Linked DNA regions of Callithrix jacchus. The protein of the gene in region 2 purifies or fractionates together with the protein of the main gene of each other region. This does not show direct contact. Links are inferred from orthologs where the notes say so. Each region holds a gene or a part of one and is shown on either strand. Other genes may lie near its edges.

Region 1 (4,988 bases), on a different chromosome or scaffold from region 2:
ACTCACATCAACATTTTATGGGGGATTAGATCCTCCATAAAATATGGGCATGCAGCCTGCAGATCTAGTTCTCTCATCAGATCTGTTTCTATTGATCAGCTCTGTACCTCTGGCCTCCAGCATCGGGCTGTTCACACAGGGGACACCAATCAGCCCCCTGTGTGACAATGAAGGCCAAACTCTTCCCCAGGGCCCACAAGGCCCCCACATGGTCCAGCCCTGCTGATCTACCCCCTTGTTCTGTCCTCACCCACTCCCCCCATTGTGCGAACTCTGGCCTCGGAGTTTCTCCCACTGATTCTCCATGACAGCACACGTCTTGGCACCTACCTCAGGGCCTTTGCACGTGCATGTCCTGCTGCCTGGCAAGCCCTTTCCCTAACTCCATGCCTGGCCAACCCCTACATGCCTCCTTCAAGATTCCTCTTTACCCCAGGCCTCTCTCCCTGAGCTCTTATCATATCTGTGATTATACAGTAACTCATGGCAATGTGTTTGCAACTTTGCCCACCCTTCAGATTCAAACTTCTGGGAGGCCAAGGACCTGTTCCCAGGTCCCCAGCAAGTATCCAACCAGGCTGACCACACCCCACCACCCCGGGGCCCCGGGGAAGGGAAAAAAAAGCTCTCTCTCCCCTTCTTTGTTGGGTGAACTCCTGGTTGTCCTCAGCTCAGGCCCTGCCACCTTCTGGAAGCCTCCAGGATTCCCACAGCTGCTGCTCCCTGCTAACCCCAGCACAATACTGCTCAGCCCGAGTTCCAAGCTCCAGGTACACAGCAGGTGCTTAATACAGAGTCACAAATGCTTATACATGGGAAGGTTTGAGAACATGGGGTCAGCTGAAGAACAGGGGGATGGGCGGAGTCCCTCAACAGGTCACTGAGCCATCTCCTCTCTGGTTCCTAGGGCTTGGGGGAGCCAGACATCCCTCCACCCCCACCCAACAGGCCGCAGTCAGAGAAGCAAAAGCAGGAGCCAGGCTGAGCTGTGGATAACTCATGCTCCAAGAAGAGATAGGGGACAAGGAGAGAGAGCCAGGGACCTTCTTCCTAGGAGAGGTGGGCCTAAGCCTGCTGAGGCAAGGGCAGATATGCAGCACCTGGAGGAAAGGGCACTCTAAGAGGGACACGGTTTAAGAGCAAAGGCCCAGGAGCAGGCAGGCAGTCAGCTTTGGGAGGTGACACACTGTAAATCATTTCCTCGGATGGAAATACCAGATCACCACATCACCAAAAAGTCCTCGTGGCTTTCACTCAATCCCTCGACAGAACAGTTTCTTCCAACACGGCTGTGCAAGCAGTCCTGTCTTGGGGACCTCCACTGCCCCAGCACCGAGGGATGCAAGGACAGCCAGACTGTGTCTCTGAGGTCTGGGCTTTAATTCCAGCTTCCAACTGTATGGCCTTGGCAAGTCACTTCTCTCTTAGCCTCAGTTTCCCCCATCATCAGCAAAACAAGGATAAACAAGAGTCCCTACCTCTGAAAAGGTGTTCAGTAGATGTTAGCAACTGTCATGACCGCTGGCCCACTTTTATCCTTGGCAAAACTGAGGCCAGAGGGGAAGAGTGAGTTGCTCGAGGTCACACAGCTGCTGGCAGGATCGGCCCCGGCTGTTTCTTTCTCAAGACACCAATCCATACTCTTCTAGAATGAACTAGCCAGCAACCTCGCCTCTCACCCATCTTTCTCAGCCAATGCATTCGGTGAAGACTTCATTCATTGAGCATCTACTAGAATCTTCACCTGAGGATTCTCATTTCACCTATGGGGAACTTAAGAGGGCGGTGTCTTGGCCCAGGTCACCAGGTGAGACAAGAGCCTCAGTCTTGACCCCCCAGCAAGGGGGCTGAGAAGAGGGTCAGCAACAGGCCCAGCCTGGCCCACACTGTGGCTGTGGCTGGGTCTGGACATACCCCAGGTGACCGGGCAACCACTGCCCCAAATTGTAAAGAGTCCACAAAGTTCAGGAGGCCTTGCCCAGGGGCACACACAGGCTCTGTCCACTCTTAAGTCCACCTGAAGGATGCAGGGGCCGAAAGGATACCACATAGGTGAGCCCCTTCTGTTCACCCCATCCTTCCACCAGCCCAGCAATTCCAGCCAGGCCCACCTGCCACTGATGAGGACCCCAGCTCAGAGAGGCAGGCAGTTGTCTGAGGACACACAGCAGGGCAAGTGGCAGCCCTGGTGGGGACTCATACCCACCCCCAATCCCAGCCCAGGCAGAGAGGTGGACCTGGCCCGGTGGCCAACACCCAAAACTTTTGCCAACTTCTGAGCCGGCTGGTGGCTGGGCCTACTCAGGGGCGAGGCTGGGGGCTGTGGACAGTGGAAACCCAACGCAGTCTGGCCCAGTCCCTTCCAGGCCGGCAGCACCAGGCCCTACCCAAGGCCCCACGAGGGCAGGGAGGTCCTGGCGGCTCGGCCTGGCGCCCTGACCCCGGGGCCCCTCAGCCCGCTCTGCCGATTCCCCCCACCTCCTACCCCCGGCCGGGGGTCGCAGGGCCAGGCAGCCACGGCCAGAGGCGGCGCCTACTGGCTCAGATTTCAGATTTGGCCTAGACCTGGCCCGGGGGCTAGGGCCCAGCTCGCCCGCTTCTCTGGGGGATCCTATGGGGAGCACGAGCTGGAGGGGGTCCCCACGCAGCCAGGACCCCTGCGCCCCCCCGCCCAGCCCCCTCTCCCCGCGGCATCACAACAAAAGGCCTCGCCGGGCATGGCCCCGTGGGCCCGCCCGGCGCTGGGGTATCGCGGCTCGGCCCCGGGGAGTGGGAATTGGGGGGTAGACAGGAGCCCCAGTAGGCCGACGATCCGACGCCAGGGTGGTCCGGGGCGGGGGCTCCCCGGCGCAGGCCGTGGCTGGGGGCTCGCGGAGGGGCGGGGGACGCTCACCTGGGCCGGCAGGCAGGCGGGCAGGCGGGCAGACGCACCGGCAGACGGACGCACTGGAGGGCGGACCGCGGGACCGTCAGCGGGTCGGGCAGACGGCGGCCTGGCCGCTCCGGCTCCCAGGCCGGAATGGATTCCGGGCCGGGAGAGACAGATCGAGAGAGAAAGGGAGGAGGAGGAGGAGGAGGCGGCGGCGGCCCGGGGAGGGGAAGAGGAGGGAGGGAGCGCGCGAGCCGGGAGGAGGGGCCCGGCAGGCAGCCGGGAGGAGGAGGAAGGAGGAAGCGCGCGGGGACGGATTCCCCGCCGGTGACCCAGGAGAGACCCAGGCGCGGCGCGAGCCGGGGGTCCGGGCGGGGCGGGGACGCCGGGCACAAAAGCCCCGCCCCCACTCCGCCGGGGCGCCCCACCCCGCGGGCCCCATCCGCCCCCAGGCCAAAATGCCCTCCCCAGCCCACCCACCCTTACGCCCCAGATCCACCTCTCCCGCAATCACGGTTAGTAATGATATCAGCGGGAGTGGAGCACCCGCTCTGTGCCAGGCGCCATGCTAAGCTGCTCAGGTCGACTTCAGGGTTTAAGCCTAACCACCACCTGGCCTGAGCTGAGGAAGATCATTCCCACTTTACAGATGCGGAAACTGAGGCACTGACAAGAACCAGGCCTTGGACCTTAGCCTTGACCTGAGTTTCTCAAAGTGGGGACTGGGGCAGGACGGGCAGGGTGGGGAGGAGCGACATTTATTTTAATAGATACGGGATCATTTTAAGCGCACAGGGAAAAAACGTCGCTGGCAGTCCATCGGAAGCTCCCTAGTTCCAGATAGTACTGCTTAGGAGGGGCTGACCAGGGCATCTGAGCGGCAATCACAGTTCCAAGTAAGTAAAGAGGCTAAGTACCTCTGAACCAGGGCAGCTGCTTATGGCCAGACTTCCCTGTCACCCCCATCACCCCTTGGCCCCAGCCTCCAGGGCGCTGGGCACCCCACCCTTGCCTCCTCACCTGTCCTGGAATCCTAGCACAGGGAAAAGTGGGCCTGGGTCTAGCTTTAAATACCACCCCTGCCTCCACATTTCTTCTTTGAAAGTTCTCTCCATTTCACAAATGGGAAATTAAGGCCCAGCCAGGTCAAAGGCAAACAGAAACCTTTGCCAGGGTTCTAATTTCTGGGCAAAGGTCCCTGCTGAGAGGAGCAGGGAGGAGCACGCTAGAATGTGGAAGGCAAAGGCTTCTGGGTACAACATACCTTCCAGGAGACCAAGAATGAGCAAAGCCTTACTCCACCCTGATCTCGGTTCGCATCTAGGCTAGCTGGCCCTCTGCAGCACGGTGGACAAGTCCATCAGCTTCCCAGCCCAGCCCCCTCACCTGTAAAACTGGAGTGGACATGGCCACAGAAGATTCCTGGGAAGGTTGGAACTGACCACTGTGAGGATGGTTGGGTGGTACTCAGTGAATAGCACCTCTTGCGGTGATAAGCCGAGGTCAGAGGGGAAAGGGGCGGCTGGAGATGCCACAGCAAGTCCACAGCAGAGGTCAGCCCAGCCTGGTGAAATGGCTGCACTTCCTTGCAAGGCTGGCTTAAAGATTAACCAAAGCTTCCCAGGACTCAGGCGGGCCCCTGGCTGGAGGAGCAGGTTTCCCAGCCCTCTTCCATTCCTTAGACATGTCTCAAGGCCTTTACTGGCCATACTGGGCTAAGGGGGAGGCAGAGACATTCACCCAGTGACACACTGGAGCTGGCTCTTACCAACTTGCAAGAACTGACTTTGCTCATCTCTTCCCAATTCCACATTCAATAATGTCACACTGGTAGCTCCACGTCAGCCACAGGGGAGGATTTACCCCTTGGACACTGGAATACACTACCAGTCAAGCCTCTTTTTTCTTCCAGACCCAAGTTCAAGTCTCAACTCTGCCTCTTCGCAGATAATGTAAGCAGCCTCGATGTACCAACCTGCACAGTGGGCTAAAGACAGCACGGCCCCCAAAAGACGCACGTGAGGGTGAAATGAGGTGAAGCCCACTCAGCACGTGTGAAAGCTCATTCTCATTCAGACCCTACACACTCTTCTCAGAGAAGGGACAACTTAGACAGGTG
Region 2 (4,249 bases):
AGCTCAAAGGGGCATTGATGAGCTTATGTGGTTAGCTAGTCAGCTGCTGGTTTTCCACTTTGGAGAATCTTACCAGTTCTGCAGTTGATCCAGGCAAGCATTGGGTGGCCCCCCAATACAGGCGCTCTGCTGTCTCTGCTTCCACTCCACTAGTTCATCGTTAATCAGGGCATTCTGGGTAAGTTCAGTGACATTCAACAACTCTATTATTTTGTGAACTACTTCCTAAAGGCAGTGGAAGAAATAGTGAAATAAATTCATTTTTAATCACTGAATTTTCAAATATTTTTTAAAAGAAAAGCAAGTATCGTTTCATTCTCAACTGGGGTTCTAAGCAAGGGGGTTAAAAAAATAATGTTTCCTCTCTTCTGAAATTGAGTCCATTATGCATAGTCTGTAACAAAAGCAGCATGCTATTCTGGAAAGTAAATAACTACCTTTCTTTTATTGTCAAGCATTAAATACATCTTCTTGAGTAACAGCTGTTCTTGTTTCTGATCACTCTTCGCCACACCATTGGTCTCGTGTTCTATAAATTGAGAGACAGCCAGTAAATATATTTACATAAATAAGACAAAACCAACAAAAGCCAAGATAATATAACTTAGGATAAATAGATACAGATGCCGCCTAGAGACAGGTCAAAGTTTGGCTTTCTTCCATCTTTATTAAACATGAAAACAAGTCCTAAGGATAACAACTAGACACACTGAAACAGAACGCTTGTTTTCAGTGACCCATCTAAATCAGACATAGTAGTATCTGCCACTGCAGTCACTGGCAGATAATTTCCTAAATAAACGTACATAACAAAGTTCAAAACTGCAGTTAAAAAAATGTATGCAAAGCATATCTGTAGGTTTTGAAGAGAAGTAGATGATTATAAAGTGGTAGTTGAAGTCGCTGTCTCTCATACTTTTTACCCAAATCATACTTATAATCTGCCTATGAACCGTTGTATACGCCAGATGATGAATATAGTAACAGTAGTACACCACATATTCTGTACAACACACAATCTTGAGTTATCTTTGGTTGCTACTCTCATTAAGAACAAGCAACAGTAACAAAATAGAGTAACACTGCTTTAAAACATGAGAAAAATACTGAGCTTATCTGCCATGTATACAATGGACCTGCAATGTTTGAAGAAACTTCAGATATTAGGGCAGGGGAACTCCACATTCTGTCACTCTGCATGAATCAGTGGACTACACGCAATTCAAAGGTGAGTAACACATAACCCGTGGTTATCAAGTATGGGTCACTGACCCCAGGGGACTTTTTGCATTGTTTGAAGACAATTTTGGTTGTCACTAGTGAGGGTTCCTGGCTAGTGCCACTGGCATCTGGTGGGTAGAAGTCAGGGATGCTGTTGAACACTCTACAATGCCAGGACAGCCCCCACAACAAATTATCTGCCCTAAAACATGAATGGTACTGGATGTTAAGGAACCCTGGCTTGGGTTATCAAGGAACAATTCAGAGTCATAAAATAATTGGCAAATAAAAAGCAGTAATCATATTCGCTATCTAGTGTGAACAGAAAAAATTACAGCCAATGGGCACCCCTTCAATTGTGAAGCCTTACCTCTGTTCTGCAAGGTTTTGCATTTAAAGTCATACTCATCTTGTAAATCTTCCAGGTTCTTGATTTCATGCTCTATACACTACAAATAAAGACATAAACATATTTTCTACTGATCAGCGACTTCCAAAGACTTTAGAAAACAGAGTTTTGTTCCTATGGAACCCCGAGAAACGTGAAAACAGTTCCAGCTCCCTCAAAAAGAGATCTGACTTGGAGAGGTCTAATCATATACATGAAATTACTTATATTTCATTAACAAGTATGTAATAACACTTTAAAAAAAAGCAAATGTATAATAATTCTCAAACTGATTTGTATGTTCTTAACCTGGTTTCAGGGCCAATATTTTGATTCTTCCTCCTCATTTTTGAGAGATACAATTTAAGAACTCGGAGGCCGGGCGCAGTAGCTCAAGCCTGTAATCCCAGCACTTTGGGAGTCCGAGGCGGGTGGATCACGAGGTCGAGATTGAGACCATCCTGGTCAACACGGTGAAACCCCATCTCTACTAAAAATATAAAAAACTAGCTGGGCATGGTGGTGTGTGCCTGTAATCCAAGCTACTCCGGAGGCTGAGGCAGAATTGCCTGAACCCAGGAGGCGGAGGTTGAGGTGAGCTGAGATCGTGCCATTGCACTCCAGCCTGGGTAACAAGAGCGAAACTCCGTCTCAAAAAAAAAAAAAAAAGAAAGAACTCTGAGTTACTTAAATACTTAAGTAACTCAATTTAAGTACCTCTGAGACACGATTTAAGAACTCCACTATGAAGCACACAACAGGGATAAAAAGCTCATGGAAAATCTTCTCACTCCTTTCCAATAAGAAAAGTGACCATACATCCCTGCTTTACTGGCAGAGACCTAGTTTCATACTTTCTATAAACAGTGGCCTCCTGCTGGCTCAAATGCATCTCCATCTGGACAATAAATTGTATGTTCACTCTACAAATAAGCCTTGTTTGTTTGGGATTTGGTCACATTTCTACATATTCTTCTCTGGATTTCCATGGCTATTTCTGGACTGGGCTCTCTTAGTTTCTACTTTAATGAAATGTTTCCCTAGGAGAATTTGCTCCAAAGAATGGATAAAGTTCTCCAAAGAATGTGGAGTTTGGAAAGATGCTGCCTGAAGCATGTAAGTCAAGGCCATACTGGTGCTACCCAGAGATCCGCAGAGGACCACACCCCTTAGTTGGAAAGCCTTTTCCACAACACACGCTTTTGTGAAGAACTCCTCAACCTCTCCCTGCACCAACCTTAACAGTGGAAAGGAATAAATGTACACCACCGAGAACGCCAGAGCAGCCCTTTGCTTCCATAAATTGACTTGGAAGTTTTATCCTAAAATTGCTGTGGATGTCTTAATCAGAAATGTATCCAAATTTATTTCAATAAAATGTATTTTTACTCCTCTTCCAAGTCTTAGGATAAAACAGGTGATTGAGAAAGATGGGCCATGTTTATCCTGGGCACTGTGATTGAAAGGTGTGGACTTAAATAGAGCAGCAACATCTCATTTACTGGGTACTGGGGCAAAGTCAACATTTACTGCATGATCTTTCAAGGAAGAAAAAGATAAGCTCAATGTTTGGCAGTTATAATAAGGGGCCATTTAAAAAGTCTATCTGGTCATTGATTTTACCAATTTGTTTACTTACAGCTTGAGACTTCTGCAACATTTTTCTTCCCAACTACTTAAAAGACTGAACTCAGTTACTAGGTTTACACCCAAAGGGACTGAAACCTTTTTTCCCTACAGAAAGTTTTAGAATAAACGCACATGTTTACTCAGTACTTACCATAACCTTGTCCTTCACGTTTCTGACTTTGCTGTCAAGCTCTTTCTGTTTGTCTAACATCACCGTGCTCTGAATACTCCCCAGCTGAGCCTGTAATGGGAAGGGCATGATTACAGACATCATTTTCTCCAGGGTGTGTACTTGCTGGTTACACTCCAAAGTCCCCACCTGCCTCCCAGATCTTCTGACACATACTACAGGCTTCCCACTTATGTGTCAATAAGAATTTTTTCCCAAGATCCTGGAAAATGCTGGCAAACTATTAACAAGGCTGCAAAATAACTAGGCTTAATTCATGTCTGTAATTATTTCTGGGAGTTTCCATTAATTCACACAATTGCATAGCATCACACTAGAATTCAGTTCAGAGTTTCTCAAATACTGTACACAAGATTACTCTTACTAACCCTGTCCTTCTTTATCTTAAAGCTTTCTGATTCAAAGTGTGTCCTCATACCAGCAGCATCTCACCACCTAGGATCTTGTTGGAAATGCAAAATCTAAGGGCTAATTCGATTATGGAATCAGAAAACCCTATTTTCACACAATCTCGAGTGATTCAGAGGTGTACTGAAACATAAAGGCATTGAATTAAGGGCATCAATGAAAATCTGCTACTATAAAGTCAATAATGAATATAAAACCAGACTTGCCTGGGAGTACTCAGTCCTATTTCTGATAATCAGAACACTCAGATGTGACAAAACACCAGATGTGCCCTGCACATACTTACTAGGTACTAAGCAAATGCAAGACAATGTTCTAGGCCCAGGTATTAGAGTGGTAACTGATGGTTCCTATTCTCATAGAGATTAAATTCTAGAAGATGTGATTTTTTTTAGAGTTAAATCCCCCACACA
Region 3 (4,736 bases), on a different chromosome or scaffold from region 2:
CCAAAGATGACAAAATACTCTCCACATTCTTAAAAATGTCATTTATGGGTATTCTCCTAATGAAAAATTAAAGCTTTCATAAACAAATGTGCATAGAGAATTCATTTTGATATGTATGACTTACAATCTAATTTTTATTGGCAATATCTTGAAGTGTTGCAGCGTGCACAATTCCTACAGGGGATAAAGATCTGTTTTCCCATCTGATGTTCGCAGATTCCTTATAGATTTAAAAGGACTCACTAAAAAAACCATGAGGAAAATAATTATGAATACAATCCACAGCAAAATGAAGTGTGGGGCTGAGACCTAAGATAATGAAAGTCACGGTATTTACACAAAAGCTTTCACAGCTGAAGTACTCTATACCCATTTAAAATTTCAAAAAAAAAATCTAGATTTTTTTTCTTCTTACTCTGATTTTACCTATCATAATAGGAATGTATGATATTTACCTCCAAAAATCACAAACAAAAAGCCTTCCATAAATATCATTTCCAAAAGAAGTATCTGCCAAACCTTACTGCACAGAAAATTATATATACACATTCTTTTTTTTAACACATTCTCGAATAACTATGGTAGGCGTTCCTGAGATCACCTCCTCCACCCCCCAAAAAAGAAACAGCAAATCTAACCACAATGAAGTACTAACCAAATTTTTTTTAACACAGCTAACACCAGCTAAGCAGTTTATCACACAGCTCCTCAAAGTCTCAGACATACACAATGACATACCAACATGTCAAAACAGTTATTATAATTTGAAAAAGTATACAACAGGAGCATAAAAGTAGAAAAAAAAATTCCTCTGGAAAAACTCAAGTAGATTTTGGAGAGAGCAAAAAAGGAGACTAATTTTAGAAAAATAACATTTCTTCAAGTGTTTGGTGTTTATCTGATACTGGTTCATTTTTGTAAAGAGAAACTTTACCTAACAAGACTCACACCAGGGATCTGATCTATCCCCAAAGGCACTTTCTTAAAATGAGAAAGAACAAAGAAGGAAATCTCTCAGCATGTGCTTTCCATACTAGTTTCTTTGGACAGCATCAAGAGTGACAATATAGTCTGCACAAGTTTTTCAGCTTTATTCTATGGTCTATGTATAACAACTGATTAGCTATCATTCAAAAGAACTCCTAACAAAATAAATATTAGAAGGCAAAGACCACAGCAACATGGTAACTCTATTTTAAGAGAAAAACATGTCTTAAAGTTGTGCTTTTTTTTTTTTTATTTCAAAGGTTAATTATCTCCAAATATTCAAATTCCTAAGGCTTTCTCATTTCAGGCAATAGTTTGAAACTGGGGAAAAACCAAACCATCCATTCTAAACCTGCTCTCCCTTAAGTAAATTTGTAATTAAAGTACATGTTAAAAGAATGACACTCAAAGCCAATACTTTAATATACAAATCTTGGAATGTAAACATTGTGAAGTTATTAGGAGAAAAGATCTTTCGGTGAGGCTATTCCACAGGAAAAACTCTACAGAATCAAATCAGGCATTTGGTTGTTCTAGAAGTTGTGGTTTCATTATAACGGAGAAAAAAGTTACATAATTTTTATTAATTATAAAAAGAAGGCTCTCCCCAAAGATTTACAATTGTATATCCCAATCTCCACTCCGACAGAGATGTCAGTTCTCTGGGTCGAGATATAACCAGCTGCTGGGTTCACACACGCAGTAAGCCATAGAGAAGATCGAGTTCAGAGCCTCGAAATAATACGCGTTAGTTAAGAACTGCCTGCTACTAAACCAAAATTATTCAAGCGGAGCCCCATTTGTCACAATCCAATCATAAGGGTTTCACCCCTCCTCCCCCAACTGCTTGTGTAGTGGTATATCTGCTTCGGTAAAGAAGCCATCATCAGGTAAAGATTGGGGTGGGAGAAAAGCGGGGAAAAGGGGGCACCCTTTCATCTAATTTCGTGAGGTGTGGGTAATTGGTACAGTTAAGAGGAACGTTCTATTTATCGGGGGTTGGAGTAGCGTGAGGGGAGAATTTCGTTCAAATCAACATGGCCAGCAAGCTGTCCCTACAAACAAAAGGCAATGGGGGGATATAAACACGAACCATTCACCTCCATCAGCTACAGCATCGCCATCATGGTGTGTGCAGAGACCCCCCAAAGGCTCCTCTCACCCTCCACACCAGCCAAGGCAAGAGAAGGGAGAGAGGTAGATGGATCCCCCCTCCCACCACTGCTTCCAAAGACTCACTCTTGGAGGGGGGTTTCTCCCTTCGGCTGCCTGGAATCAGAGAGAGAGAGTAACGTCCCGCCCAGGCTGACTCCCCCCGGCTACCTCTCAGCCGAACCCCAACGTCGGCCCGGGGCTCGCCAAACTTTACCAGAGCTTCTCCCCGAGATCCCCACCCTATAGCCCTAGGATCGCGCTTCCCCACAAGCGGGGCACCCCAGGCGCTTCCTGACAAGCGAGCAGCCGGGGAAAGCCGAGTCCGGGGCGGGGGCGACAGGGATCCACGGAGGGGCGGGGCGGCCGGAGCCAAGTTCCCGGGGGTCTGAGAAGAGCGCCTGACAGGAGCCCGGGACTGCAAAGGAGGAAGAGGAAGCGGCCACGGGGAGCTTTCCCAATCCCCCCTACAAGAGCACCCTGCCCCCAGCCCCAGCTCCCCATGGGGGGCGGGGAGGCTAACTGAAGGTGAAAAAGCCGAGCCCGGGAGACAGCTGCAGCCCCTACCTCCCGACTCCCTATCTCTTCCCCCGCCACCCCCGCCAGAGGCGCCCACAACAATAACACGCCGGGGACGACCCGTCAGCGCCCCCGAGGCACCCGGGGCCCGCGGCCCGCCGCAGCCGGGCCCCCTCTGCTGAGACTGGGCGCGCCTCTCTCCCTGCAACTCCAAGCCCGGGTGGAGTCAGGCCCGAGCGGCCCCCCAGGGTCGGACCCATCCCCCTCGGCACCAGCGGCGCCGTCTCCGCGGCCGAATATTAGAAGTGAATTCGAGCTGCGCTTTACCTTTAGTTCCGCACTGTCCGCCATCTTGCGTCTGTCAGCGCAAGCGCAGTGAACGTTGCCGGGGGCCGCCGTTAGGCCCGCCTCTCCAGCCTGCCTGGCCCCACCCCTCCCCGCCCCTCCACCTTCCCAGCCCGCCTCTTGCCTCCGCCCCGCTCCGGGCGCTCGAAGCCCCGCCCCGGGCACGTACAGCTGCGAGACAAGCACGTACCATTTAAATAATGGCGCCAAGCCGCGAGGTTTGACAGTTACTGCCCCCACGGCCTCCCAGCCCCCCATCCTCGCTCGGCCAGCCCTCCCGGGAAGGGCCGGAGCGAGAGGGATGCTGGCCTGAGCCCCATCTCTCCGCAGTCCGCGGAATGCTTCTGCATAGCTTCGACGCCTACGGTCACAGAAACAATACTGTCCCCCAACCCCCAATAAGCAAGGCTTTTCAGCACCTGCTACGTGCAAGGCTACCAGTGGGCAAAAAATAGAAATCCGTTACATTTAAGGGACCCTTTAATGAAGCATTTCTAGGATTATTGGCTCAGAGCCTCCTCTTGATAACGCGGTGAGATAGGCAAGGAAAAGATAATTCCCATGGTATAGATTCAGAAATGAAAGCTCAGAGAGAAAAAGCGACTTGCATATAAACAAGGATTTAACGAGGTGGCTGGCGTAAGACAAAACTGTGAAGGTGTTCATTAATATTTTTGTTTTCAAAAGTATGTATTTAGTGACTATCTGCTGGACCTGTGCTAACGGCTAAATGTACATTGGGAAATCAAAGTCCCTGCCCTTCTGTAGTTCTCTAATGAGGAATTAGACAAGGGAACGAATAAAGATAACAAATGGTAGTGAGTACCACAAAGGAGAAAAAGGTTTATTGAGAGAGAGAAAGGGTTTGGGAGATGTCCTTAATTCTGGGAAGGCTTTCTCCACTAAATTGACATTTAAGTAGACTTGATGGCCGGGCATGGTGGCTCACTCCTGTAATCCCAGCACTTTGGGAAGCCAAGGCGGGTGGATCACTTGAGGTCAGGAGTTCGAAATCAGCCTGTCCAACAAGGCAAAACCCCGTCTCTACTAAAAATACAAAATTAGCTGGGCATGGTGGTGCATGCCTGTAATCCCAGCTACTCAGTAGGCTGAGGCAGGAAAATCGCTTGAACCTGGGGGGCGGAGGTTGTAGTGAGCCAAGATCATGCCACTGCACTCCAGCCTGGGCGACAAGAGCAAAACTCCATCCCCCAGGCCCCCCAAAAAAGTAGAGTTGATGGAAAGATTATTTCCTTTTGTCTCTACGAAAAGCCTTCTATATACCTCCTCCCCAAATCCCACTTTTTGCTAATCAACTTTTCCTCATACCTCGTGAAAAAAATGAAGGATATCAGAAATAAACTCCCTGATCTTCTCACCATCAAAACTACCCTTATCTGCATAGTAATATTTGGGTTACTATGAATGAAGTGTCCCTGTGCCTAGGAAGGCCAGTCCCTTTACCAGTGACCTGGATTTTTTCTCAAACATATTCCTAAGGATTTTACTCCTGCAATTACCTACCCTCCAGCATCATTAGTTTTTTCTCTCTCAGTTGAATTGCTCCTATCAGCATATAAATATATTGAAATTTCTCCCATCTAAAATAAACTTCCTTTGACTCCAAAATAGCCTCTAGGAACTGCCCTATTTTTCTGCTGTCTTCATAAATTCTCAGGTTTTTCAAGATCTCGCCAGTAGTGCTTCACATTCTATTCTCAGTCTAACTTTAG
Region 4 (4,245 bases), on a different chromosome or scaffold from region 2:
CTCAACAAGAGTCCTGAATTTGAGGAAGTTCCTGAGAGGGGCCGCATGGATGTTGCTGAGCCCTACAAGGTGTATCGCCTGCTGCCACCAGGAACCCTCTCTGGTGAGTGTCCCCTTGCCCAACCACTCCTAGACTCAGCAGACTGGGGAGGAAGGGTAGACCTGTGGGCCTCTACCAGGCTTCTCACAGCTCTGCCCTCTTCATGCCCTGGGGAGGCTGCTACCCAGATTTCCCTTCCTAGCCCTGCCCATCCTTCACTGCCTCAGACCTCTCCTTTACCCTCTGTCCCTGCTCAAGACTCTGACCTTTCTCTCTCCCTCAACAATTCTATAGGAGGGACTCAGAAATCACCATCAAAGCAACAGCACAGTTCTGTGTCTTCTGAGAGGAAGGAGGAAGAGGGTGCCATGCAGAACTGTACACTCAGTCCCTCTGTGCTCCAGGACTCCCTCAATAATGTGAGCGATGGAGAGGGAATTGGGCAGGCCTGAGAGCAGGACAGTAACTAGAGGGAGAGGTGGGCCAATGAAAGCATCTTCAGAGGCCAAGGTGGGCACATCGTCTGAGGTCAGGAGTTCAAAACCAGCCTTGACCAACATGGTGAAACCTTGTCTCTACTAAAAATCCAAAAATTAGCTGGTCATAGTGACAGCTGCCTGTAATCACAGCTACTCGGGAGACTGAGGCAGGAGAATAGCTTGAACCTGGGATGTGGAGGTTGCCATGAGCCGAGATTGCGCTATTGCACTGCAGCCTGGGTGACAGAGTGAGACTCCGTCTCAAAAAAAAAAGCGAAAAAACACTGTGTCTGCAGGAAGAGGAGGGAGCCAGTGGGGGAGCAGTCCATTCAGACATCGGAAGCAGCAGCAGCAGCAGCAGCCCTGAACCACAGGAAGGTACCACCTGCTTGCCTCTTGTGTCATCCACCATGTCACACACTCTGGCCCAAGACTCCCCAGCCCCACTCTGAATGACCAGTGCCTTTGCTTCCCTTCCAGGTACAGATACAACTGAGGCCCCCTTACAAGGGGATCAGGTGTCCCTGGAGTTTCTACTTCCTCCAGAGCCAGGTACGTGACATTTCTAACTTTCTCCTGTGTTCCTGAGGCCTTCCTCCTTTGATCGTACATGCATTATCTAGTCAGTCAGGGCTTACAGGAAACTGTGACCATCTTATCATAGCCCAAGGCACTTGTTTCTAGGTGGTGAGATTCCACATACCTGGCCAGACTCTAAAAAGCTTGCTTCCCAAAAATACCACCCTATACACTCTCCTGGAAATCCACACTGAGACACTAATTTCTTTGGGCCAAACAGAGCCCCAGTCTCAAGGGACCTTCTTGTAAATGACAGGACCCTGGGCATTAAGCCCTGAGGCCTCATGGTGAATCACTCAGTAGTACTAGCTACTTGCCTGAGTGATGGGAAAACCTGAGGGGAAGCCCCCTGGCCAGTGAGGGGAGGGGAGTGGAGATGTTCCCCTGGGGAGGGGCTACCACCAGCCTGCATGCTCCTCCAGCACCAGGTACAGCTAGACTGTTCTATCCCCAGACTACTCACTGCTGCTCACCTTCATCTACAACGGGCGCGTGGTGGGCGAGGCCCAGGTGCAAAGCCTGGACTGCCGCCTCGTGGCTGAGCCCTCAGGCTCTGAGAGCAGCATGGAGCAGGTGTTATTCCCCAAGCCTGGCCCACTGGAGCCCACGCAGCGCCTACTGAGTCAGCTTGAGAGGGGCATCCTGGTGGCCAGCAACCCCCGAGGCCTCTTCGTGCAGCGCCTTTGCCCCATCCCCATCTCCTGGAATGCACCCCAGGCTCCACCTGGGCCAGGCCCACATCTGCTGCCCAGCAACGAGTGTGTGGAGCTCTTCAGAACTGCCTACTTCTGCAGAGGTGAGGATGCTCTCACTGGGCACCTGAGCTCCTATCTTAGTACCCCCCGGGCCCAACTTGGTGGGTCCTGCCACCACCCTGTTTGCCAGCAGATCTTCCATGTAGCCTATGCATGGCACTCCTGCACTTGTGTGGTGCACATCGTGTTTGGCCATATGCCCAGCCTGGCAGCTATATGGCAGCTCTTCTCCAGCCAAGACAGTGGAAGAGGAGGTTCAGGTAGAGCTCAGCACAAGAGTGTCACATCTTGGGGAACACCATCACACTGAAGCGTGCAGTCATTATGTGAAGGTGCACAGAAGAATTGGCACAGAGTGAGCCTCATGGCCTTGTCCTATGTACACACATTTGGGAGAGCTGGCACACATCATACCTCTGGCTCTGGCTGCATCATCTCTACTATACTCCAGGAATGCCCTAGGGTTGCCCCCCTCTCCTATCCAGTTCCAGTTCCTACTCAATTCTAAATCTGACTTAAGAGTGGGGCCAGGAGTACAGGGGGTATAGAGTGTGGGTGTTCCCAGGGCCATGGGTACCCTAGCACTGAGAGGGTATGAGCAAGCAGCAAAAGTCTGGGCACATCTGTGTTAGCAGCCAGGGCTGCGGCCTGGGAGGACTCTTAAACTCTCTCAGCAGAGAGAGCTTTTCAGGTTGTGCAGTGATCTGCTACTTCTAACACTTATTTGAGGCAGGGGCACCCTTTCCCGTTTGCACATGGGTGAGTAGCATTTAGTTCCGAGCACTTCTCCTGACCTTGCAGCTCCTGCTCTGGCCTGGGGCTCCATGTGGACCCCCCCTCCTAACTATCTCCATCATGGGTTCCTCACTATTGCCTCCCAACCTGTGGCCCTCTCTCTTGTTTTTCTCCTTCCAACCCTTGACCCTTTCTCTTTCAGACTTGGCCAGGTACTTCCAGGGCCTGGGCCCCCCACCCAAGTTCCAGGTAACACTGAATTTCTGGGAGGAGAGCTGTGGCCCCAGCCATACTCCACAGAATCTTATCACAGTGAAGGTGAGCTCAGAGCAGGGGCAGAGTAGCCTATCTAATGAGAGTAGGGGCAGTGGTGGTCCAGGAGGTGAAGGGGGTCTCCCAGTGGGGAAGGAGCTCCTGGGGGTGGTGTCTGTCCCTGATGCACTCACTGAGACGCTCTTCTCCATCTCTTCCAATACAGATGGAGCAGGCTTTTGCCCGACACTTACTGGAGGAGACTCCAGAGCAGCAGGCAGCCATTCTGTCCCTGGTGTAGAGCCTGGGGAGCCCATCTTCCACCTCACTTCTTTGTTCTGCCTGTCTCCTTTGAAATAGACTCATTCTTCACATGATTGACCTGTCCTCCTCGTGATAATTCTCAGTGGTTGTCTGTGATAGTTGTGTCCTTAAAATCCTCGCACACACTGGCTGGTGGAGAACTCAAGGCTAATATTTTGTCCTTTCTTTTTTTAAATTTTTTATTTTTTGGATTTTGAGATACACACCTTCTTTCATGTGTAAGGGACTGAGAAATTCAAACGGTGTGAACCCAGGGATCTTTCCCTCTTTCCTGACCTCCCAACTCTAAAGCCAAGCACTTTATATTTTCCTCTTAGTTATTCACTAAGGATTTAAAATAAAATTTTATTGAAAGAGGAATCAGTATCTGATTTTTCTGGGAGACAGAGATGTAAACTTATGAGCAGGACACTGGGGTTTTCTTCCTTCTGACATCTTCAAAGCTCTTTCCTCTCCTCTGCCCACAGGTTCTGGCTAAGATGCTGTCTGGGCCCTGTGGGTCCTGGGCCTGGCACTCTGCAGAGGTACTCTCTAGGCAGCCATGATTAGGGAGAGGGTTGGGATTGGCCATTGAAAGGGCACCGAGCCTTCAGCCAGGCACTATAGCCACCAACTTCTCATGGTAGTCTGGGCTCCACAGTTCTTGCTAAGAGCACCAACATCGGGCCTGGGGTTAGACTAGAAGTCTGAAGAGGAGACACTTGAGGGTGACCCAAAACTGTTCTAGAGGCCCTGGGGCCTGAGAATAGAGGAGTCAGAAGAGTTGCTAAACCTGTACCTGCTGTTCCTGGCACCCCTTCCCCCAGCACAAATTGTGCTGTCACCCCAGCAGGGTACTCCCAAACTGGATTCCTTGCTCTAAGTCCCATAAAAGATACTCCAGCCTAGACTGCCATGTCCAACATGCTTTTCATGAGACTTGAGGGCTCCAAATCGACTTACACTCCCTTCCCTTTCCTCTGTGTTCATTTTACTACCAAACTGGAAGTTTTTCCTTCACAAGGCCACTTGTCACCTACTTTTTTGTATATTAACTTCCAGCAAACTAGTTCCAACCCAGGCCACAGCCTTCAGCCTCTGT

Evidence for each region.
Region 1: the proteins of STAT1 (region 2) and SRC purify together in Homo sapiens (affinity purification with western blotting; 3 studies listed by BioGRID). This does not show direct contact. The link is inferred for Callithrix jacchus from reciprocal best matches to the Homo sapiens genes STAT1 and SRC.
Region 3: the proteins of STAT1 (region 2) and PIAS1 purify together in Homo sapiens (affinity purification with western blotting; 5 studies listed by BioGRID). This does not show direct contact. The link is inferred for Callithrix jacchus from reciprocal best matches to the Homo sapiens genes STAT1 and PIAS1.
Region 4: the proteins of STAT1 (region 2) and IRF9 purify together in Homo sapiens (affinity purification with western blotting; 5 studies listed by BioGRID and IntAct, with this or other methods). This does not show direct contact. The link is inferred for Callithrix jacchus from reciprocal best matches to the Homo sapiens genes STAT1 and IRF9.

Annotation. Positions count from the first base shown.
Region 1 is NC_133506.1:32,781,750-32,786,737, reverse strand, and holds the start of SRC (proto-oncogene tyrosine-protein kinase Src), read right to left. Parts: upstream 3,022-4,988; 5' UTR 2,894-3,021; intron 1-2,893. UniProt on the Homo sapiens protein: Non-receptor protein tyrosine kinase which is activated following engagement of many different classes of cellular receptors including immune response receptors, integrins and other adhesion receptors, receptor protein tyrosine kinases, G protein-coupled receptors as well as cytokine receptors.
Region 2 is NC_133507.1:37,804,367-37,808,615, reverse strand, and holds part of STAT1 (signal transducer and activator of transcription 1-alpha/beta), read right to left. Parts: intron 3,480-4,249; coding exon 3,390-3,479; intron 1,671-3,389; coding exon 1,592-1,670; intron 530-1,591; coding exon 438-529; intron 226-437; coding exon 74-225; intron 1-73. UniProt on the Homo sapiens protein: Signal transducer and transcription activator that mediates cellular responses to interferons (IFNs), cytokine KITLG/SCF and other cytokines and other growth factors.
Region 3 is NC_133509.1:15,175,883-15,180,618, reverse strand, and holds the start of PIAS1 (E3 SUMO-protein ligase PIAS1), read right to left. Parts: upstream 3,022-4,736; 5' UTR 3,010-3,021; coding exon 2,986-3,009; intron 2,461-2,985; exon of another isoform or gene 2,227-2,460; intron 1-2,226. UniProt on the Homo sapiens protein: Functions as an E3-type small ubiquitin-like modifier (SUMO) ligase, stabilizing the interaction between UBE2I and the substrate, and as a SUMO-tethering factor. Catalyzes sumoylation of various proteins, such as CEBPB, MRE11, MTA1, PTK2 and PML.
Region 4 is NC_133509.1:58,471,411-58,475,655, forward strand, and holds the end of IRF9 (interferon regulatory factor 9), read left to right. Parts: coding exon 1-103; intron 104-334; coding exon 335-459; intron 460-754; coding exon of another isoform or gene 755-815; coding exon 816-897; intron 898-999; coding exon 1,000-1,071; intron 1,072-1,552; coding exon 1,553-1,894; intron 1,895-2,790; coding exon 2,791-2,906; intron 2,907-3,066; coding exon 3,067-3,141; 3' UTR 3,142-3,524; downstream 3,525-4,245.